Drosophila melanogaster: one gene and its partners. The protein of the gene in region 2 interacts with the protein of the main gene of each other region in a pairwise test. Each region holds a gene or a part of one and is shown on either strand. Other genes may lie near its edges.

What was found. The genes of interacting proteins can lie anywhere in the genome.
Region 1: the proteins of CG15529 (region 2) and CG43183 interact in a two-hybrid assay, tested with the Drosophila melanogaster proteins (one large-scale study listed by BioGRID).
Region 3: the proteins of CG15529 (region 2) and CG3081 interact in a two-hybrid assay, tested with the Drosophila melanogaster proteins (one large-scale study listed by BioGRID).

Annotation. Positions count from the first base shown.
Region 1 is NT_033778.4:8,588,620-8,595,826, forward strand, and holds CG43183 (uncharacterized protein), read left to right. Parts: upstream 1-3,575; 5' UTR 3,576-3,701; coding exon 3,702-3,825; intron 3,826-3,876; coding exon 3,877-3,965; intron 3,966-4,022; coding exon 4,023-4,155; intron 4,156-4,214; coding exon 4,215-4,285; 3' UTR 4,286-4,350; downstream 4,351-7,207. Other genes in the region: CG14752 (uncharacterized protein), read left to right, coding at 1,951-1,971, 2,404-2,465, 2,946-3,201; CG8736 (uncharacterized protein), read right to left, coding at 5,546-6,022, 6,230-6,244.
Region 2 is NT_033777.3:30,148,256-30,156,244, reverse strand, and holds CG15529 (uncharacterized protein), read right to left. Parts: upstream 4,187-7,989; 5' UTR 4,065-4,186; coding exon 3,851-4,064; intron 3,603-3,850; coding exon 3,226-3,602; 3' UTR 3,157-3,225; coding exon of another isoform or gene 3,026-3,156; 3' UTR 2,965-3,025; coding exon of another isoform or gene 2,640-2,964; 3' UTR 2,546-2,639; downstream 1-2,545. Other genes in the region: CG11498 (uncharacterized protein), read left to right, coding at 1-330, 422-1,186, 1,362-1,491, 2,640-2,964, 3,026-3,156.
Region 3 is NC_004354.4:4,636,402-4,644,924, reverse strand, and holds CG3081 (uncharacterized protein), read left to right. Parts: upstream 1-3,762; 5' UTR 3,763-3,848; coding exon 3,849-5,600; 3' UTR 5,601-5,666; downstream 5,667-8,523. Other genes in the region: CG3062 (uncharacterized protein), read left to right, coding at 141-167, 2,595-2,731, 2,783-3,092, 3,273-3,557; pon (partner of numb), read right to left, coding at 6,266-7,813, 8,008-8,472.

The DNA.
Region 1 (7,207 bases), on a different chromosome or scaffold from region 2:
CCAAAGAACCCCAAGACATAAAATTCAATACGAATCAAAATGTATTTTAGATCTGTTTAAGAGGTGGAATAATACTACCCGTCGTATTCCCTAATCCCATCTCTACCATCGAATCCTCGATCCAATTTCTTTCCGTACAACATCTGGAGTTGGTCCGAGTTTTTCGAGTGGTCCACATTCACAGAAGTCAAAACTCACCCAACAGGAAGTATTTGCATGTGCAGATCCCGGGATCCCGATCCAAACCAAACCAAACCGAACCGAGCCGATTCGCCAGCGCGTTCGCAGAAAGCGAAAGTAATCATCCACCGCAGCGGCCACCGGGTGGATTATTGTTTGGTTTTGCCCACGGGCACGCATGGTTAGAAGGGGCGCGGGTTGGTCGGGTGGCCGGGGGGGCGTGGCATGGAAGCTATGGCATATTTATCGCTCAGACAAATATCCATTATGCAATTTGGCATGGCTAAAACGAGCAATTTGCCGCAAATGCAATAACATCCCGGCGAACGGGGTGGGGAAAGCCGATGGTGCGGTGTTTTGGTGGTTCGATGGCTCGGTGGGGCAGGATGGCAGTGGTGCGCCCTCAAACGCAGTAAAAGCACACTGGCCTATATATACACATGAAAGCCGAGTGAGTGAAAGAAAAAAACAGCGAGTGATACTAATGGTTTAACCCGTTTGGAGCCACTTTTTATTAGGTTGAACTATAATACTCTGTTTATCTTGTTGCCAGACTAAAGATATAAAATCTTGTGGAGACTTAGTAGTGCATATATCACTTACCCCATTTTGATTATAGATTATATTTCTGAACGGAAGCTCCTTGTTCAGCCTTAAATGGGTTAAGCACGCCGCAAATTGAAGCTCTTGACAGTTGAGTTAACAGCACAGCACGGCAGCAACATGCAACATGCAACAACCAGTTGCAACAGCAGCTGACGTGGCCAGCGTTATGTCAGGGGCATTGTGGCATTGTAGAATGGGCAAAAACAATACAAATCCACACAAACACAATCAAAATGGAATTTCTTCAAAATCGTGTGATGCATTGCTTGATTAGCGCCACATCTACTGCTACTGTTAAGTAATTGCCCGAAATGCGTTTTATTGCAAATTTACGGCGTACGTGTTTCGTGCTCCATGCGTCGTGATGTGAGTTTCGCTGGGGATACATCCAAGACTGGACTCCTGTAGCTCCAACGCTGACCCACATCAATTGACACCAGCGACGACAGTTACCACTATTACCACAGAAGACATTCAAGGTCGATTGGTGGAGATGTCTTCCAAGCGATATGGAAGGGCCAAGAAATTTGGATTAGCGTGACAACTTTGTTTTGTCTCCGGCCGCACACGTTCACTTTTTGCGGCGGTCTACAGAAGGCCGCTAAGTGATCCAGTCAGCGGCGGTATATGTGCTACTTGGTCATGCATTCGGAATGATTTTAGCTCCACTCCGCGCTCTGTCTTGCGATTATGATTATGAAATGAACGTAATTTGCCCCGTATTACACAAAGCCCCGCCAAGTCAAAGTTCGATCGTCTGCCATTGTGGACAACTGAAGCATGGACCACCGCTCCCAGTCCCTCTTTACCACCGACCAGAGGGTCTTAACCCCTCGTAAACAGATGCCAACGACGGTTAATACAAATCACATATCACTACACCATGTTGGCCATGTTAACAGTCGCGCGTCCACTGTTATGCTTATTTTCGCTTGGCCGTTGAAGTTGCTGCTGCTGTTGTTGCTGCTGCTGCTGCTGCTGTTGTTGCTGCACCGACGTCACGTCTTTCTCGTGCAGCGCAGTCGGCTTGCAGCAACAACACAAAGCGCTGCTGGCGCCCGGTATAAAACGGATGAGTCGCAGCCTGTGGTTATCAGTCACCACCTGACAGTGCTCCGGTTTTAGTATCGCCTTTCGAGTGCAGCAGAGCTCAGCCCAGCCACCATGTCCGTCCTGAAAGTATTCGTAAGTGCGACAAGGATAACGTTCGAAAAAGTGTTAAGCCAAACCTCCGCGGAATGGAGCTGAAAAGGATTAAACTCATGTGGACTATCGTGAATAAAACTAACCAACTGAAACATAACAAACTCACTGAAAACTGACTTCGATAACCGAAGTATTGGAAATATACCACCAAGATCGCCTGATGGCTTAAAAAGTCTCGAATAGATATTTCAAGAAACTGCGAAAGCATTTATTTTGCAGAAATATAAATTCACCCAAAAATATTAGTTTATGTTTATCAATCGCGGACTAACATTTCATTAGATTACTTAGATTTCACCAGAATTGAACATAAATTTTGAAGTGCCAAATTAAAACTAATCACACTGATTAGTTAGCTATTTGCGTTAATCTAGCCGGACCTAACTTACTAACTTCCTTATCCCCTTTCAGATCTTCGTCGCCCTCTTCGCCGTGGCCTACTGCGCACCCAGTCCCGGCTTCTTTGGCAAACAGTGAGTATCGGCGGCGATCTGCACCTGAACTGATCCATAAATAACCCGAGCGAATCGATAAAAATACCCATTTCCCGCTTTATGCTAAGCTAACGAGCGGTCGCATGGCTTTTTAAACGCTGCGACTGCTCCGTGGGTCTATGAAATATGTGTCCGATTGCGATCGAATTGAGCAATCAAAACGCTTGTAGCACTTAGAGCCCCAGCCCCCTCCAGCAGTCTCTATATGGTGCCCACCACTGGCTACCATTGAACTTAGCCGATCTCGACTTGGCTTGGCTCGCGGCTTAGGAATTTCGCAGGCGGCGGTTGGCATTTAATTCAGCGTAATGCGCGCATAATTGTGCGAATCAATTGCCAATTGCCAATAGCCAATATGCAATAGCCATGTCTGCCAAGACGCTGGGTTCAAGCAACTGATTAGCTAACAGGCGATGGTACATGGCATTCGATCTAACCGATTTCACTTTCGATCCGCAGCGAGCACCACACCATCCACGTGCCCTACAAGGTGCACACGGTGCACCACCATCACGTTCAGAAGGTCCATGTGCCGGTGGTGAAGCACGTGCCGGTGCCCATTTACAAGGAGGTGCCCGTGCACCACGTCCACCACGAGGAGATCCCCGTGCCGGTGCACCACGTCCATCACGAGGAGATCCCGGTGCACCATGTCTTCGATGACCACCACGACCACCACGGCTGGAGCTCCCACCACGGACACGGCTGGCTGTAAGCCATCTGCCCGCTGGCCTGCTTGTCTTCAAACCCACCCACTCAGCCAGTCCCATCTGAAGCAGCCTGTAAATACTGTACAATGCTAAGTTAATGAATGTAAATAAATCACAATTCGACTGTACACAGAACAATCCTGGCGTATTTATGGCAGGATTCCCTGAAGTGGAACCTTAGTGTTTGATGGCTCACAAGTAATCTAATAAACCAAATACTTTTAATGGGAATGAAATAACGATTTTGTTATTTGAGGCTTTTTAAGTTGTTGCGATTAGGATAGATGGTTACTTTTGAAGACTCGAAACTTGCTTATCTCTATATTTATATACTATATAAGATGGTAGAATATAACCTACTTGTTAAGTAATATTTTTCAAAAGATTTTTGTTATCAGTGACAGAACTTGTACACATAAAATAAAAACCCCATATACTCAGATACTCAAATACTAATACCCTGATAGCAAATAGCCACAAATAGACACACTACCACATTTGCACCATGATATATCTACAGAGTTGCTGCTGCTGCGTGGATCTGCGAATCGGAACCATAGCAATAGGGATTTTGCACATTATAGCGGATATCCTTGGAGGCACATTTGTTGCTTTATTTGGGGAGTCGGGTAAGTGAAGCAGGATACTTGAGAGCAAGGATATGATCCTAACACCCATAGGTATTCCCGATTTGGGTCACACCCTATTCATTATCTTCGTTATGCTGCACATCCTGAGCTGCGTTTTCCTGATCATCGGCAGTATACGGGTGAGATACCAGTACAATTGATTAGTTTCAAATTATAATACTTATGATTTGATCTAGTTACGGAGCAGCTGGATGCTCTTCTACATAATAATGACTATGATCATGGCGGTAGCAATGCTCATATTGATAGTATCCGACGTCATACTCGCCGTTTGTTTCTGGGTAATGATCACGTATGCTATAATGTTCTGTAAGTAGCTAAGTGTATCTAAGATTTCACAATCCCTTAATTTTTCCCCATTGCTTCAGTTATTTGCCTTTATTCCTGGCTAGTGGCGTACTCTTTTTACGCCGCCTTAGGAGGACCTCTCTTCATCTGAATGTGATCCATTGCCAAGTAATAAATTGTACTGTGATTGTAGCAATAAAGTACTTGAATTTTTACAAATCGATCTGCATTTTAAGTGGAATAATCATCGTAGAGTACCGAAATAACTATATCTCATCTCATTTGGTTCAATCGTTTTGGATTCCAAGAATTCGAATATTCCTTTTCATGCAATAAGTTTCCCATAATCACTTCCCATTACATTTGTTTGTAAAATTACTTTCGTGAGTTGCACTTTTTTCACACACTGCCAAAAAAGAGCAAAAAAAATGGGGCAATGCTATATTGATTATAAATAAAGCAATGATTGCACGCATATTTCAGGTGAATTGGTCGGGAATGTGATAGGTTCGATTGGATCATTGCTCCATTAGTTAATCCCACTGCAAGACTGTAATTTGCAGTTGCACTTGACCTTGGGCCGGTCTCCCAAAGGCGGCAATTAAGCCGAAGTTTTGCAAGAACGACTTTCACAAAGCACTCACTTGACCAGCTCCGACTGAGGTCGACCGCCAGTCCGCGTCCGCTCCGCTCCGATCTCTCCCTTCCTACGATCTCCACGAACCCGATCCGATCCGATCCGGTCCGGTCCGTCCACTCCGCTCCTTGCCCAAGTACTTACTGTGCTGCAAGTCAGGGGCGTGGCAGGGCACATTCTCGGGGCATGAGCTCTCTTGGTTCCTAGTTCAGCACGCTTTTCAGCTAGAACTGGTCCTAGGGCAGTGGAAATGTTTAATTAAGTATATACCTTTTACACTTTCGGAACTCTTATCAATTTAACTTGAGAATTTGGGATATTTCCGTCATATAATTCAAGCTTAAAGTAGCAGGATCATTCCTTTCTGTAAATCAAGTTTCATGGAGCAGGATCTTAACAGTCTTCTTTCATACCTCATTTAGCGCACTTGACTGAATGAGTTTCTGATTGTAGACAGTTCAAATTACTTTATTTAATTATAAATGCTTACTTTGGTCAATTAATCTTTTCTTCATTAGTAAGAGTTCTATGAACCAACCAACAATTACATTTTGTAATATAGTAAGAAGTTGTAGTTGCGAATAGAACGATTTGTATACCCCCATGTATCTGCAGCTATCAACCATAGAAAGTCCCATTTCTTTGACCAACATTTTGCATTTATTTCGGCGCCAACAACAAAGAATTTCAGATTAATGTCCACTAATTGAGAACTGGGGAAAGGCGAAGCGTTAAAGGAAGCTGCGGCTGGCCGCAAGTGAGCCCTAGGCCGCCCTAGTTGCAGTACGGGAAGTTGGGGCACTGGTGCGGCGAAACTCCGGCGGGATACAGACGCTCCGTCCAGCCAGGTAGAGGAGGAGCTGCCACGGGAGCACCAGCGTGTCCGGCGTTCACGTCGCAGTAGGGATAGTTGGGGCAGGTCTGCGGATTGACGCCAGCTGGATACTTATCGCCACCGGGTGCGGCAGCAGGGGCTGCGTTCCACGAGGGCTGTGCCTGCCACTGTGGCTGCGGCTGGGGGTTCCACTGGGGTTGAGGTTGCTGCCACTGTGGCTGCGGGTTCCACTGTGGCTGCGGCTGGGGGTTCCACTGTGGCTGCGGGGCACCCCACTGCGGCTGCGGATTGTGCAGGCGCGCATTATCACAGATGGGGAAGTTGGGGCAGTCCTGCGGATTCACGCCAGCCGGATACTGGGCAGCAGGTTGGTGTTGTGGCTTGGCCACCGCCAGGGCCACGAAGGTAGCGAAAAGCTTTGAAAAGATTTTAAAAAAATATGGAATTTTTAAATGTAATAAGATACATCTGTAGTTTGAAAAATATCTGGAACTTAGGATCCTCGGATCTTAAGAACTTCAACTAAAATGTTGCAGATTTGGATTCCAGCTCCACTTAGTAGTTAAAGGAACTTTTTCAGACGCTATCCTTGTGGGCAGAAACTTGGCTCAAAGGGCACTTACCAGCTTGCAGAACATGTTGGCTGAGGTGAGTGGGTGGTTGGTAGTTGTGGAGTTGGTTCTGGTGTGGGGCTTATGGTAATCCTTGCCGAATTGGACTATGGAGTCGTAGCTCAAACTTCCAATTGGGTTCCTGGTCGGCGCTGCACTGCTGCTGCCGAGCCCGGCCATCAAGCTTATATAGCGGTGCTGGCTAGAACCGACTCTTGGCCGGGTCTCAATCTCAGCCAGAGTCTCTCGGCCAGACTCGGTTTCACTTTCATTACTGCGGCTGCTGTGCTTGTTGCTTTTGCTATTGCTGCTGCTGCAGTGGCTTTGCTTTACTTTTGCTTTTGTTTCTGTAGTTGACTGATCTCGCGCATATTTTACTTGATTGGCCCAACAGATTATTATGAGTCTTTGTTGTGGAGCGCGGACAAATAAATCGAACGGGGCCGACGGACAGATAGATATGTACAGACATACTCGTGCATACATACGGGTAATATGCTTAAACACCCAACTATGCAAACACATACGAGTGCGCACTCCCCTATCGAGTTACCGACAACATGCCGTCATTAGCAATGAACTAAGCCCCCAACTTGCATTTCGGCCAAAAAGAAATCTCCAGCCTGGGCTCGTACGGGTACATTTGACAAAGTCGCGTTGGCGTTTGGCCAATTTTCGATCCGCATTTGCCAGCGGATCAGTTCGTGAATCACTACGCTCCGCTCCGATTCGCATTTGGACTTGGATTCGGATCGTGTAAGAGGCACAGGTCGCCACCACCATCGCCATCGGCCTGCCATTGGTTCCACCATCGCCTTGGCATGCCACTGCCACATGTCGCCCGGTCTTGGTCTGCCCGGAAGGCAGCGGTGGTCCGCGTCATTGCAAACGGGTTTCGGTGCAGCGAACTTGCACTAGATCTCAATGCACAGCATTCGAGAGGCGGGGTCGCACCGAAGTTCACTTATAGGTTCTAGGGCTGCAGGATAG
Region 2 (7,989 bases):
GATCCTGCTGAAGAATCATCAGGACGCTATTCTGCAGCTCCACGGTCATTCTCCGTCGCTTCCCCTGTCCTTTGGCGCCGCATCGATGGCGGACAGCAGGGAACGGATTCGTGGACCCTCCAGGGATGGTCGCGAGTTCCTGACCAGTCCGCGTCAGGTTCTTCGTCGGCTGATGCTCCTCTCGGAGGGCAGACAGTACAGGGAGGCTGCTGGCGTGGTGGGCAGACTGGGTCCCTCGGTTCTCAGATCAGTGATCGCTGAGCTTCCGCTGGACCTGCTGCTGGAGCACCTGCCTCACAGTGCCTACCTTCTGGAGTCTTTCTTTACCAGGTGAGTTATTATTAAAGTTGAATATTGTGAGTCTTCTAAAAATATTTCGTTTTATATCAAACGTTACTATTTTTTTTTAATTTTCCCACAGATTGACCACCCTGAACACCACTCCCAAGCCAGATGTGCCTAGTGAAACGGTGGCCTGGCAGTTGGTGCGTCTGTTCGCTAATCCCCATGAATCAGGACTCCGGCAGAGATGCACTCGACTCCTGCAGGCCTTGGCTCAGTACGAACCAGGGCTCCGGCAGACTTTGAGGGAAAGAAGACGCAGTTTTGATAACGCTGTACAAGGTCTTGGGGTCCATGGACTGACCACCGATGCCTCGGGTCAGCTTATTTCCCTACATGTAGCCCTGAAAACCGAGCTGCAACGCCATGTGGATACCTACAAGATGGCCATTCACAAGCTGGAGGAGCTGAGCATGGTGACTGTCAACCAAGACCCTGCTCACTCCTCCCATCAACGATTGTTGGCCATCAATTATGGGGATATTCAGCAGCGACTGATCGACAACAAGACCCTGCTCACAATGCTAGACAAGCCGGCTCTCAAGCAGCTCCAAACCCTGGTCGAGAACCTCAGCACGCGGGTGGAGAACGACAAGGAGGTGCTCACCTGCGTGGGTCAGGTGCGTCGTCTGGACGCACAGGCGCTCGTGGAGAAACGCCCTGCCGCCGGTCTGCTGATGAACTTCTCCCGCGGCTGCGAGGTGGTGCTCCACATGATGGGCCCTGAAGGAGGTCCTCCGGGCTCCTCCCACTCCATTGGAAAGACCACTCCCCCAGGCGGCGCTAGCACGAGCAGCTGCAGCGATGGATATCACTCGGACGACTCTGGAAGCGATGACAGCAGGTAAAAAACATACATAAAGAATACATACAAAACCTAATTCTTACACTTGACCGAGTTCCAATAAGGTGCAACACCCACATTACAAACTCAGTCAAATCAGATCGCGACCGCATCCAACTCTCACCTGCCCGCATCCCACACTCTGATTTGTGATTCCATTTCTCTATCTCCACAGCGAAATGGTGTCGCTCTATCGGAATCTCTACGTCGAGAACCGAGCGGACGCCTTGGAGGCGTTGGACAGTCTTCCCCAGATAAAACACGCGCACAGCCTCAAGGGGAAGATACTCTTCTCCATGATCGTGGTGAGTCTGAAGTACCTAGCATTCGTATGTGTTTTGGGATGGGTTGTAGATTGTAGATACAGTAGATATGTCCGAACACTCAATAATGGATTGTTAAAGAGGCCGAACGTATTTCGAGATTACCTCGATCGGGAGAAATTAGTGCCAATTGCGAGTCGGCCTTGTTTTCACTTTTTTTTTTTTGGGAGATAAGTAAGTTTTCTATTGGGTGTGTTCGCTACCATTATTTGTATTACGTTGTATTTAATTTCGTTGCTAAACTTTAGGTGGCTGAGAAAGAATTTGAGATTAAATCATGAGGAGAAATTATTGCCAGTCAATCATTCACTTGTCTTTGGAATATAAATCGCTAGCAACATAGTTTTACTTTTATAATTATCTCCTTCGTTTTCACTTGTCAAGACAGTACGGAGTTATTTGTGATGAATAGCCTCAATTTATTATGGGCGTTCATAATCTTTCAGCGTGCCAATTCCATGTCAATAACACTTTAACTTTACAATGCTAATAGATATTTTTCTATACAATTCTTAAGGCTATTCAAATAGAATAAAGCCCTTGTCAAAAGTGAAAAAATAGCGATTGTTTTAAAATTGGGACGAACTCTTCCAATTGGCATTTGGCAGGTCAAAAGCTGATAAACTTGATCTTGAAGTAGCTCAGCGTACGAACTGCTTGCACTGCTTTCGTTTGGAAATTTAGCACAGCACAATGACTCTCAAACTGTGAGACCAATTCATCCAGCGAAGATTACTTTCAATTTTCAAGTGCTTGGCCATCAATTATTTCCAGCCAAGCCCGTGGGCTCTGGATGCTTTAAATCCTGTCGGACCACAAACTGCGATTGCAAAATATCAATTTTGCAAGATCGAATTCGCACTAGAGGATGATTAGGCGTTGGTGCAGTGAAAATGTGAGGGAAAGTGGAGCCCCCAGGGTGTCAGAAAATTACGTAGGCGCTTGGGATTTGAATCACTTTCGATCTCAGATGAACGACACTTTTGCAGGGAAATGGTACCATCAAGATTAGTTGATAATAATAAGTCACATATTTATGATTTTCGAAAAACTATTTATTCATTCATAAGTAAGTCTAATTAGATAGTCATCTAATTGATAATTTTCTTAACTTATTGGTACTTGTGTAGCTCTCCTTCCGCCTGTGCCACGGAATGCGGGAGCGAAAGGTCCTGGAAGTTCGGCGAGTCCTGAATTGCCCCTTGGACAGCAGCAGTGAGACCACCTTGTCCCTGGACAGATCCGTTCGCCAGCACCTCTTCGAGACCGCCGAGAGTTTCCCGTTGGGCGAGATCGAGCGGTCGGTGTTCAACCAGGTGCTATCTACTCTGCACGAGTACCCCTGCCTGGAGTCCTGCCCCCCGTTGACGCACTACGTCAGTGCCTGTGTCCGACTGGCCTGGAGGATGATCAACCAGAAGGCGCCGTACTACCTGGACATGGACTTCAACCTGGGTGGGTTTTAAGCTACTCTTTAATCGTTTAACAATCTTACACCTACGTAAATCCCATGCAGGTTTCCTGAGGCCCGAGAAACACGAGCGGCATCCCCAGGCGGACCGGCGATCGGATCTGATAAAAGCCTTCCTCTGGCCCGCCCTGATGCAGAACAACCAGTGCGCCTTCAAGGCGGTGGTGGCCACCTGAGCATCGTCTTAAGCTAACCCCATTTGTACATACTTGCCCTCTCTTATGCAATAAAGATTTGACCCCTAGCTAAGCGTAACTGATGGGACGGAGTTGGACGCACTGGCTCCGGACCTTGTTGGTGCAGAGAAGTGGATGCTCCGTGTAGAACTCCACGATTTCCGAGGGGGATCCGAAGCAGCGCTCCTGAGACTTCTTCTGACCAATGGCATAGCGTTGTCTCCTATCCACTTGCCTTATGAACAGGTGATAGTACTGATCCGCCGCCCAGATGCTCACTATGTAACGGATCCACTGGTCGGCTGCCTTGAAAGGTCGAACCAGGCAGGACCCGTCCTCTCGTCCATGGAGCATTCGCTCCGCCGTAGGACGATCCACTGTGAAGTAGTACTGCTCCTTTTCCACATGCCTCTCCTCAATCTCCGCGTAGTTGACATCGGCATCGTCTTTGCGGAATTAAAAATGTTGTATTAGTAATTGGACCTATTTACCGCTTAATCTTCTAATTGAGTATTACTCTACATTAATTTATGCCTCTGTAGTTATCTATTATTTATCAAATTTCGATCATTTAAACTTAAATTCGAGTTAAATTTAGCTCTACGAACTGTATCGTGCTTTCTGTTTTGGTTTATATGCCGTCACTCTGGGGATTTGGCTTTGTTTTGAAACCGAGAGATCGATGCGTACTCACCCACAATGACGTAATCCTCACGGGGCTGCTGTTGTGGATCGTCGTCGGTGCTGGAAACCCGTTCTGCGACGTCACCTTCCTGACTGGCCTGCCGCTGATAACCGAAGCAGCAGCTACAGAAGGTGGGCGATCTGACTTCCATCAGGCTGTCCATCATGCGAGCCAGGAGATTGTGCAGAACCGTCCAGTAGACACGTGCACACCAGCAGCACATGGCGCCAAACGACACAGTAGAGCAGTCCTATTCCCGCGACCTTGGATTAGATGGATCGGTGGCACTGAGACCGCCGCTCCCGGCAAACATCTTTCGCTATCGAGCTGCGCTGAAGACTGACTACTTTGTGACCAGAACCAGACGAGGAACCAGAACCAGAACCCAGAATTCAGAGCCCGAGAACAGAAGCCGTCTCGTCTGGCAGTGCTTATTAATTAAAATGTGTCTACTGCTCGGTTGTGGGGCGGCAGAAATGTTCATATTTAAATAAGATATGGATATGGCTGGTAAACAAAATTCACATTGGCAAGAACGCGGGAACTCGGATAGTTTGAAGCCCGGCGAGTAACTGGATACTCCGAGTGCAGTGGGGAGATCAGCTCTCTGTTCTTATACACAATGAGAAATGCAGTCAACCTTTCTGTGCTTAATATCTCACAATTTAATTATCTGTAATGTCTTTATATATAGAGAGATCCACTGAAAGAACGCAGTTTAAACGTACATAACGAAAATAGGATTATTTTTGAGTGTACAATTCTTTGCAGTGTACATGTGGGCAACGACAATTATTAAACGTTTAGCACCCATGCATTTTCCATACCCCCCCCCCCCACCATTTTTCCGACTGACTGTGGAATTCATTGAATGTGCCTGCAATTTTTGGTGGGGAGGGGTTCCCCATATCGCATTTCTGCGGCTCTACATAACCGAGACCGAATGGATACGAGTGGCCAACATATGGATCTGAGCCGTTTGCCCGCTCTGCTAAAAAGTTTGAGAACTGAGTTTGTTTTGCTGATCTGTTGTTTTTATTAATGAGCTGTTGATAGTGCTGGTTAAGTCCCATTTGATAGGCATTCAAAAAATTCTATAATTATAAATCCTATAAATTGTAAATATGACTTTTTGGTCCAAGCTCGATTTCCCTGTTTTTGGTTAAAAAATAATGCGTTTTTTGGACACAACTTTGAAAATAATGGTTCAAAAGTGGAGTGGCATATCTTATTTTACTCCTAATTAACTTCCCAATCGATTAGTGTTCAAATTTGGAAACTTTAAATTTTTGCGATTTTTTGCAAAATTTGATGATGTTACCCCTTATAAAAATTCGAAAATTGACAAAAAAATTTTTTTTTCTTAATTCGAAAAAACGGGACAGGGATCGTAAGCATTGGTAATTAGCTGCACAAAACAGTAATTATTTTTACTTTACGACCATTTTCAGTCAAGAAATATTGAAAAAACCACTTGGAAACATGGATTATTTTGATCAACTAGTTTTTCTCATTTTCCATCCAAAATAATCGTTTTATTTTTACAAGGAAATTATCCATGTTAAAGATTAAATAATCATTTAAAGCGTTAAGCATTAGCTGAGACACAAACCTTTCGAAGTTTTACCGTAAGCTTACCAACGGCTGTGGTGAAGCTCTCCCGCTGTCTCTGTCACTCGCACTTCCCTGTCTCTCGCACAATTTAAATATTTCTTAAAATTCAAAAGCAATTAAAGTGCGGTCATAAATTGTGCGAGCTGACTACGCTCCGAATCGATTGCATTCAAATCTCCTTGTAAAACCCAAAATGGGCGTGCAAATTGCCAGCACGTGGACCCATAGATATGGTTCTAAAACTTACAGATCCGGGCAAAAAGAGTGCTGCTCAGTTCATTACGTATACGCCGGATTGGCTGCAGCAAGCATCGCGATTTTGTTTGCACATCTAAAGCAGTGACTATTCGCTAGACAGAAGGCAAACATCTTCGCAGGCCAGTCACGTGCACGTAAATGTCAATAAAACGATATTCCCAGTCGATGGTGATGGTCCGATATGATATTGTAGTATGGGGGCATTAATAATACCCGATGCTCGAGCAATACGATCGCACTCCGCTTGACACAGTAGCAGCCCCAACATCGGGCAATTAATATGCGGCAAACAATTTTGATGAACTGCTAACAAGCCGATGGATCGATGGGGGTTTTATGGGGGCTTCTGGTTCTATACCGGGATGACAGCCCATAAAGCAGCACAATGGCACAAATTGATTTTGGCCAAACGATTATTTCGGGGGTTGCGTGCTCTTGGGCACATCCGCATCGAAAAGTAGTACCCCTCCGAAGCCAAGGATCAACCAGCTGGGCCATCAATATCAATGAGCGGATGCCGATTGATTGGCAGACCCGTCGATTCTTTATTGGTCCGTCTAAGAAAATACATATTGCCCATCGCGGTTTACGTCTCAATTATATTTGAGTGCCATTGAAAGTGTAAAGAACGTTCACAAACGGCGGCCAGAAATAGCGAGCGGAATCTCGGCGACAGCCACAAATCATAGCTATAAAGAAAAGAGCCAGCATATTTCGTTTACGATTATATCCGGACGGAGGCCAAGCCGTAGAACTGCAACTCTCCGCGCTTTTCCAAGCACTCAACAGGCGTCCGCAGCTCGCAGTCCGCAGCTCGGGGGCTCGTCCACTTTTCCCGAAGTCCCCCAGTTGGGTTACCCGATTCGGAAATCCCGAGCCCGAATCCCAACTGCTTGGGCTTGCTATCCGTGCGATTCATTCGCGCATTTTGCCGTCGAGCGTTGGCCAGCGCGGTGGATATTTCGCATATCCGCAGTGGAGAATCGCATATCGCAGCGGTATCAAGTTTTAAAATTCAGTTTCGAATGCCATAAAAAATAAATAATAAAATTAATAAACAAATCCGGTGCGTGTGTGCCTGTGTCTGTGCGGTTCCGTCTCAATGAAATGCCAAACTAAATAAGCTTGGAAAAGTTTTCCATCCAGTTTTTATGGCAACCCAGCGAGGCCCGAAAGAGTGTCAATTGAATTAGCGTCTCGGGCTATAAGAAAATAATACAGAGCCAAAGAGAGATTATCAAGACGCAACAGGTGATTGGATCGCGGATTTATGAATTCGCAAAGGTGTTTGTTTCTCTGATATATAAAACCACCTGTGGCTCCTCCTTCTAGTTTTAGGACCACTCTCTGGAAATCCAACTTCGATTCCAGGTAACTACACTAATTACCCCCAAAGTTTACTTTAATTTATATATAGTGCTAGTGCAAACAAACGAAAAAAGAACATATGTTAGAGAGCCGAAAAAGAAAATCGATAAAATTCGGACTCAGCATTATGTTTATGCTAACCGCAAAGGCAACTAAATATTTGCTTTTCGCAGCGGGGAAAGTCTTCACCTGTTGCACGTATCGCATGTCCTGTTGATTGGCTAATTGATAACATCCAGTTCCGGTCATCACCATCAGCCATATATCAATCCATCCGCACATCCATGCGGATCCCTCCATATATCCATTCGCATGTCCACCCACCCTTGACCCTGTCAGCGGGCAGCCCATTAAATCATCCCGAGCAAACAAATTAGCGGAACGAGTGCATCAATAAACAAAGTTCACCTGTTGCCCGCTTACTGCCGCGTAGCGAAAAGAAAAGACATCTGCAGTTTGCATTAGCGATACATCTTGTATCTTTTGGATGCCAGCCTCCTACTTATGGCGGATTTTTTGGAATTGCACTCGATGGGCAGGGAAATAAAGCAAACTATGGCGAAATGAACCGAGCAGGGCGAGTGAACATCAAAAGCGTTCGGTTCGGTTTGGATGGGATGGTATGGCACGGGCATAGGTGGAGAAGGTGGGGTGTATCTATCTATCTATCAGATGCACACGGCGCTTGTAACCGCAATTCGCATGCCACCGCCCACCGCCCACCGCCTACCGCCCGTCCTTCGACCTCCTCAAGTCGCCAGTGCTCTTGATTACGCCTTTGTGTATAAATTAATTAAATTAAAAGTTTCCGGTTAAGCCTCCGAACGCCGACAAACGCGGCGCTCGAACGCATTGCATTCGAAAGTGCAGAAATGTCCGATGCACTCGGTTCAGTCATTTCGACTTCG
Region 3 (8,523 bases), on a different chromosome or scaffold from region 2:
CAAGCCCCGCCCATTTGTGTAAAAGCGAAGTAGAGCAGCCTCTGTCATAATTTTCAAAAATTGAGGATACATTTTTATTTTTTTGTTTTAGAAACTGTGAAAGCGTCACGGAAATTTCGACTTTTGTGCAAAATTTCGAAATGGCCCTTCATTTTAGTGCACAGCAGGTAAGACAAATTTATTCTAGTCGATTGGGAGGCTGTTTTCAATATCCATAAATAGTGGCCTAATTTGGTTGGTACGGGTAACGGGTATATATATATATACATATATATATATTTGTGTGGATCCATGGATGTAAACATTTTCGCAATAATAATAACAACAAACGTGGCAATGGCAACCAACTCGATTCGGCGCCATCCTTTTCTATCCAGTGAAAAACGACTCCTGCATTCCGACAATCGGCTGTTTGTCCCTGTATGGGTGCTATTTTCATGGGTGTGGGTGTACTGGCGTTCATAAACAAAAACAAAGGCCAGGCGACAAGGAAGTTTTGTTGTGTGCATATTTTAGTTTTTACCAGTTATATATTTTATTCTTTATTTATATTTTTATATATTTTAAATTAACTCATTTTGAATGGCATGTGTTTCCTTTGCTCGAATTTTAAACTTTTGTTTATTTATTTTTGAAAATATATGTCGGGTGTTTTCTTGTTTTTGAGTGTCGTACGCATAACGTTACCGCTACCGCTCCGTTACCGTTTCCGCTCCCATAACCGTTTGAGCTCGCTTTTTCATTTCCTCCCCGCCCACCGCCCACCGCCCACCGCCCACCGCCGCCTTTGCACATTTGCAAATAGCGACAGTTAAAGTTTATTTACTTGGTAACGGTTACTTTGGACCAGAACCTTTGCCACGCAACTCGTTTTTGGGAGTCCACAGCTATTCGCCATATACACACACAATCGCAACGGAATCGGTTAACTGCGGTGGTGACGGAATTTCGAAAAGAATCTATTCGAATCGCACTCGAGAATCAATCGAAACGCCTGGCGTTAATGGTTTACCAATTGGCCAGGGCGACAGCTGTTCGGCCAGCGGAAATTGAAATTGGAAAAATTGAATGGAGCATTGAAAGAAGCAGAAGCAGGAGGCGGAGCACAATCCACAGGATACAGGAGCTTTGGACCAAAGGATAGTCGGCGGCAGAGCGTGAAATTAGCTTAAGTGCTTGTCGCCTCGACCAGGACACACCAGTGGATACAAGTGCGACATTAGATACGATACAAGAGTACCCGAAAGTAGAGAAGTACCTTCATTCTGGCGAACTTCTAGCCCAACCCCAGTGCCTCGGCCTAAACCAGCGATTCAACCGTGCACGTGTTTGCCAACTAGCTTTTTGACTGTCTAATCCTGCGGATGCGAGAATGCAAGGACACCATGTGATAAATTGCACCCCAGAGGGTTGCCATAAAAATCATCGCTTCACCCAGCTGGGGTGACCACCTCACCCATCTCAACCATCTCATCCAAGGGGTGCAAACTATTCTACCCATATATGCTACCAATCTATCTATCTATCCCATCACTGTATCTATCTGTCTATTGTGTAGCGTTAGCATAGATACCACACCATCGAGCCAAGTGCTGTTAGCTCCTTTGTTGCTAATTGAGTTTAAAATCAATTTGTATTTTTTCACGCCGCAATTTGTTCGAGCGCACAGCTACATTGCGTAATTGCCGTGCAAATTTAATTACAGCGCCGATGCGGTAATGCTGGTTGACCAACAAAACAGCCACGCGCTGCGAACGTGCGCCCTTGTCACACCCACTCACAATACGGAATCAGCACCCAGTGGAACACCCACTGCAGCACCCATCGATCAAGGCCTCAATCAAGTGGTGACACTCGGAGCGCTCCGAGTATCGAGTTACCAGCGAAGGTCCATTTGCATTCCTTAATTGAAATTCGTACGCGTGGGAAGACCACGCAGCCTGAAAGCTTTGAATCTCCCAAAGTTGGATGTTGCTCCATGTTTTTTTTTTTTTTTGGAAGAGATGATCTTCCATTTAACAGATTTCACTTCTCATATTCATATTCAATTATGCCACATAGTAGTTCAATCCAATTCAATTGCAGGCATATTGCCGGGCTCACTTGCTCCTGTGCCCGCTTAGGGCTGGCTAATCCTTCTGATAAATGGTCCGGGCTTTGGATGAGATGCAGTGGCTCGTTTTTTAGCGCGCGCAGAGATGTTGGAAATTTTTAGAAAGGCAAACACAAACAAGGCATTAAGTGGCATTAGACAAATGCCTTTCTACACATGTTCCAGCGTAGAGATTACGCCGTGTAATTGGCCCCACCTCCATTCGCCCGGGGTGGGTTCCGGTTTTCGATTGACATTTGGCCACGGCTGCGGGGTGGGCTACTGCTCTGCTCTGCTCTGCTCCTTCTACAATTTTTTTTTTTTTTTTTGTTCTTTCTTTTTATCAATTGCCTTGTTTGCGCTGGGACCATAAATAAGGGCATTACTCGCAGGGGGCGTGCGCGTTTTCCTAACAGGTGTCTATCGACTCCTGGCTAATCCCATGCCCATGCCCATGCCCAGCTCCCTGACATCGAGTTCCTTACTTACTCGTTCGTTGCAGTTCGAAGGCCGATTCCAGTCGAAGCGTCTCAACAACTGGGAATATCCGCGATTCTCACCACCCCGCCCACGTGGTCTGCAGAAGAACGCCAAGGTTGTGGCGGCCAATAACGGTCACCTGCTGCCCGAAGTGATAAAGTAAGCAATTGCCAATGCCCCACAATTATACAGTTTAATTTTAATCCACAGGGAGGGCAACTCATTTGGCCAATATCGTGGAACCTACGAGCTACCGCGTCGAATAACCCGTGCCTTTTGCGCCCACTACGATGCCTGTCTGAGTGGGCGGTACAAGTTTGTTGACTTTCCGCGTGACCTGTGCAATTGTCAGCGAGAGAACCGCAGGGCACTGGCCTGCGATCAGCGGTTGACCTTGGGCCACAAGGACGATCCCTACTGGATGCGCGAACGGTGCCAGACGAAGTGCGAGGGACTACAGAAGCTGAGGGCGTTGAGCGAGCGGAGTGCGCGCTGCAATCGGGCCAAGTGCGACGTGGTGGTGAGTGGGAATCGGGGTCACCATCGGGGTCACCATCGGTGTCACCTCTTACCAATTATGTGCACCCAGATTATTGAGTTATCTGCAACCAAGCTATACATATTTTCATTTCTGGTTGCACTTTTTGCACTTTCATCCTGCACCCTGCACACTCACATTCACATTCACCTGCAACCGTAGAGCGAGAAAACCGTGAAGATGACGCCGAAGGCAATCAAGACGACGGGTGTGGCCACCGAAAAGCGGCGTCGAAAGCGCACCATAACCGCCTTTTCCAAAGGACGAACGGCATTGCATCCCAATGAGCTGACCAAGCCGATTCCATCGTCGGAGAAACCGGCGGCGACTGTCGCCACTCCCAAGGACAAGCCGAAGGACAAGCCAAAGGACAAGGAGGCGGGCAAGAAGGATAAGACGAAGGATAAGGGCAAGGAGAAAGAGCGCAAGGCGGCGAAGGGCCATTAGTAAAACTTCATTATTTTGTTCAACCGAAATTCAAATCAAATTCATTGTAACCGCAGGTTTAAAATACATTTTAAAGGGCAGCACGATTGCACTCAACACAAATCATATAGCATATATATTTTATAACTAAACCCAGGTTAAACCATCTGTTACATATGTACATAAATCATACATCATTATCATCTCCATCTCCATCTCCATCTTATCTCATCCCATTCCATTCTGCACCACCAACGCATTGCAACAAGTGAACGAACCTGAAAGCCACCTACTCCATTACTCCATCCAATCATGTCGCAAACAGCTCTCCCGGAACTGAGCTACACGCCGGGCGACCTAACAGAGCCGCAGTTCCGGCTGCCCTCGCACCAGGAGCTCCTCGACCAGAAACGCAACAGCACGGACAGCGTGCCACTTGGTCGTCTCACCTTGGACACGCGCGACACGCAGCCCATCAAGTACAGGGAGCAGCTGGGCTCGGCGGCCGGTCGTCAATTTCCGGCATTGGCAGCGGCCCAAAATCGCTATACGGATCACTTGGAGCGCAGCAGCGAGTTGAGCTTTGCGTGCCTGGAGCCGGGCAAGGATCTAATCTCATTGCCGACGGTGGGTATACGAAGCTTTGATCTCGATCCCGTATCCGTATCCGAACCCGATTTGATCAAGAAGATGCCGCTGCACTCGATCACGGAGAAGCCCAACGAGCGGTGTCCATCGCCAGTGGTGCCGGCATATGCCAATTTCGAGCTGGCCAAACGGATGCACCAGGACAATTTGGACCACCAGCCGCTGCCCGATTGCGTCGCCGATTTGGCATTCCGGCGAGCGCAAATATCCGGCGGACATGCTGGCCTGGCCCTGGAAATCGATCCCATTGCCACGGGCGTGGGTGTGAAAACGCACAATGCTGGTCCGACGCACTGCACCAAGATGAAGGTCTTTCGTCCGAAGACCGGCGGTGGCATCGTGCCACGTGCCCTCGGCAATGGCGATGCCTTTCGAGGTGTTGGCTCCGCTCCGGCCAAAAAGATGGGACCCATGGATTTGGCCATTTGTTGGGACTTCAAGCCGGCGAATCCATCGGATGAGCCGCGCCTGGCCAGGCACATAGATGGCTCCAATGACTCCGCTGGACCGGCTGTCTTCACCTGCGTGAAAACGCCTCGCGAGGAACAGTCCTCGGACTTGGGCCGATCGGCTGGCGTCTTCACCAGCACGCTTGGTGAGGCCGATTTCTTCGACAAGGACATCCTGAGGAAGCGAACGGATTTTGGCGGTGCCCGTGTGGATCGCGAGGATCCGTGCGCCTGCGACTACTCGCCACCGGCCAGACAAAGAGCACGCAGTGTCTCCCGCGATTCCAGTGCATCGCATTGCAGGCGAGGATCGGGCATCGGCGGTCCAACTGGCGGTGTGAGTTTCGGCAATTTGGCGGAGCTACCCGGTCGCGGGATGCCCGATCGTCTAGCCAAGCAGTATCAATCGTCACCCCTGCTGGGCGACAAAGCCTACCAGGCTTTGAGGGAGAAATATTTGGGTCCGGACTCTGGACAGGATTGCAGGGCCATGGATTGCCGGCCAACGGGTGGTCCACCATGCAAGCGAGACGTTCTCCTCCGGCGTCCAGCTCGACGTCTCTGCCACAAGGTGGCTCCAGCTCCCAGATGCTGTCCCCCATCGTTCGGCGGACATGGTCATCACCATGGACATGGACACGGACACGGACATTGCTTGACCAGTAAGGCGGCATTTCGCGCCGGAGTGCCCAAGCATAATGCCTCCGGTGATTTCGTGGGAATAGAACCGGGCTGCGGAGGAGGTGGCGGTGGCGGTGGTAGGGTTCTGGTGGTGCCACGCCCCCGGCAGCCGTATGCCAAAAAGAATTACGACATCGAAACCCTGGTGCCGCCCTTCCAAAGCCAAGCGGGCGGAGCGGGTCAGGGCGGCTATCCAGAGCACTGGCGATTGGCCAGTGTCTATCAGCACGCCTACAAGCCCATCGACCAGCGGCGGCGACCCCTTCTCCAAACTGTCTACAAGTAGGTGTGCTCCAGGATGGCAGTCCGCTCAAGAGAGAAATGTCCGGACAAACGGGATAATGAATAATTGAAAGCTATACAAAAATGTCCATAAGCTAAGCAAGTATATTAACTTATCAACTTAAATGTTTGCTAGTCATTAGCATTAAATTGATGCATCTGTACACACAAATTAGTCGGAAAAATCGGTCCAAGAATAGGAAATCACACGTTTATGTATAAAAAAACAAATGTTATATATATTAGAAAGCATATATATATATATATATAAAGATATATGGGCAAACATACATACATACATATATGAATAAACGTGCAAACATCAAGTAACTTAAAACTATAAACAGTGTGCAAATTAATTTGCAGAGTTCGCTTGAAAAATTAAGAAAAAAAACTTGATTAAAAACTAGGTGATGATGTGGTTTTCAGATGAAATAAGGTTTCCTTTCCTTTTTTCGCTGGTCTTGTGTGACAATCTTTGGGTGCAATTAAAAACTTAACTAGGTGCTGAAAAATCGAATTGAAAAGAAGTCAATTGGGTCAATTCAACAAGGGGAAGGCGCATTTCAAAAATAATAACAAATAAATTTAAATGCTTTCGGTTACAGAAATGCCATTTGAAATCCCCTAAAAATCGACGCACCAATTGAATCTGTGGAGCCAACCTGCTCACTTGGCGGTTGCATAGGCATCGTGACTCTTGTGGAACACATGGCGCAGCACGTCCCGCGTGGACCGCCTAATGCTGTTCCGCAGTGAGTGCTTCTTCTCGTTGGTCAGCTGCTCGATGGTCATGTACTCGGTTTGGGCAACGCTCGAGCGGAGCTTCATGGTCCGTTCGCTGGTGTCGATAATGGAGACGTCGGCGAGAACGGGCTCCATTTGCTCCTCCAACTCGGCCGCCTTTTGTGGCCTCCTGCGCAGGCTGTGCCGAATGCTATTGAGTATGTTGTGCTGTCCATGGCCCTGTCCATGTCCATGTTCATCCTTGTCCTCGGACTTTACCTCGGATGGCGTGGTGTGCGACGTGGGATGCATCAGTCTTCGAATGGACTTTCTTATCATGCCTTTCATTCCGATACTGGGCTTAACTTCTGCCGATTTGGCGGACTTGCTTGATCCGATGGACTGCAGCGACTCCTTGCTGGCCGCCTTGGAGGGCAGAGCGGCGGGTCTGTAGGCGCGAACGAAGCGCGCGGGTGCCTTGAAGTCTAGATCATCGGGCTCGTCGTCGGATTCGGATTCGGAGGCATAGGCCACATCGCCGTCGGTTGGCTCCTTTTCCCGTTCCTCTTCTAGCTGCCTTTCCAGGAGCTCCTCCTCCTCCAGCTTCTCCTTCTCCAGATGCTTGGCCCTCTCCTGGAGCTTTTCCCTGAGCTGCTCGTGCAGCTTCTCCTGCAGCTTCTCTCGCTCCAAATGTTTTTCCCTCTCTAGGAGTTTCTCCTGCTTCAATTGCTTCTCCCTCGTTAAATGTCGTTCCCGCTCTGAGACCATCTCCTGCTCTAGAATCTTCTCCTGCTCGAGAATCACCTCTGCTTCGCGGTCCTGCTCGAGCAGCTTCTCCGTGTCCTCTTCCACCTCGGAAGCCTCGCTAATCTCGGTTAGTGTGCGTCGTCTGGTGCAAACCAGACGCCTCTCCACTTGAGTGTCCACCGTCACCACTTCCTGCATCATCAGCTCCTGCGTATTGGTCTCCATGACCAAGGAGACCTTGGTGTTCTTGGGCAGTTCCACCTCCAAGCTATTCCTGGGCAACTCTCTATCCACCAGCACGCCATTCTTCCGTAGCTTCGCCTCGTTGATGCTGTTCTCCAATTCCAGTTGATAGCGATCCAGCTCCTTGCCAATGTCCATAGACGACTCCTCGCTGATGGCGCCCAGCGATCGTTTGGGCGCCGGAACGGGCGAAAAGACCAGCTTCTCGGCCAGCAGCTTGCTAGGCGTTAGCTGCGTAAGGGACATGCCGTGAAAATCGATGCGACAGCCCAGCGTTGGCGTGAATGGCAAGCCGATCTTCAGGCTGGTGGGCAGCTGCTCCTCCGAATCCCTATCGGCCAGTGCCGGATTGGCCACACCCGAGGGATTGCAGGCTGCCTCGGACGCCTCGCTGGGCCGATGGATCTCGAAGGGATTGAGCGAGGCCGGCGCATCACTGCCGCGCAAATTCAGGGCAGGATTCACGAAGCCCTTGGCGGGCGTGGTTGCCGAGCGGACGACCTAAAAATATTATGGCTGAGTTATAATAATATTCTATAGCTATATATAATAAATGTATGATTTTTATGTAGTTTTTAATATATAGATTATAAAGATATTGTTTTATTTAGAAAACAAACACATATGAATGATTTCTACTGTAACTTAACTGCGACAAAAAGTACATCCATGTACGATTAGACTAGTGAACTCACCTCATATGGATTGAACTGCTTCTCGGGCAGCTCCAAATTCAGGCCAGGATTCTCGAAGCAGGCATGCTCGCGCTTCTTCTTCTTGGGCGGCTGGCGCAGGACCTCAAAAGGATTCGTGGGTAGCTTTTGTTGTTGTTGTTGCTGCTGCTGATGATGCTGCTGGTGCTGCTGCTTCTGGGCCAGATCAGCTATGGACTTGACCTCCAAGCCGGGAAACGGATTGGGTTGGCTATTCTCCTTGGCCAAACGACGACGAGCCACCATTAGCTTCTTGGGCGTGGAACTGAAGGCGGCGTTGGTGAAGCAGGATTCTGTCGACGCGACAGCTGCATCCTGTGCGTCCTTTTCTGGGGGTTGTTGCTGCGGATTCGGGGGCGGGGCAGCATTTTTATAGAGCGTCTCCCTTTTGCGTTTGCGCGGCGTCTCCGTGAAAGCCAATGCAGCTATGCTCTTCGTCTCCAGCATTATTCAGTCGATCACAAGTCGATGTGTATATCTTAAGTTTCTTTAATCAGA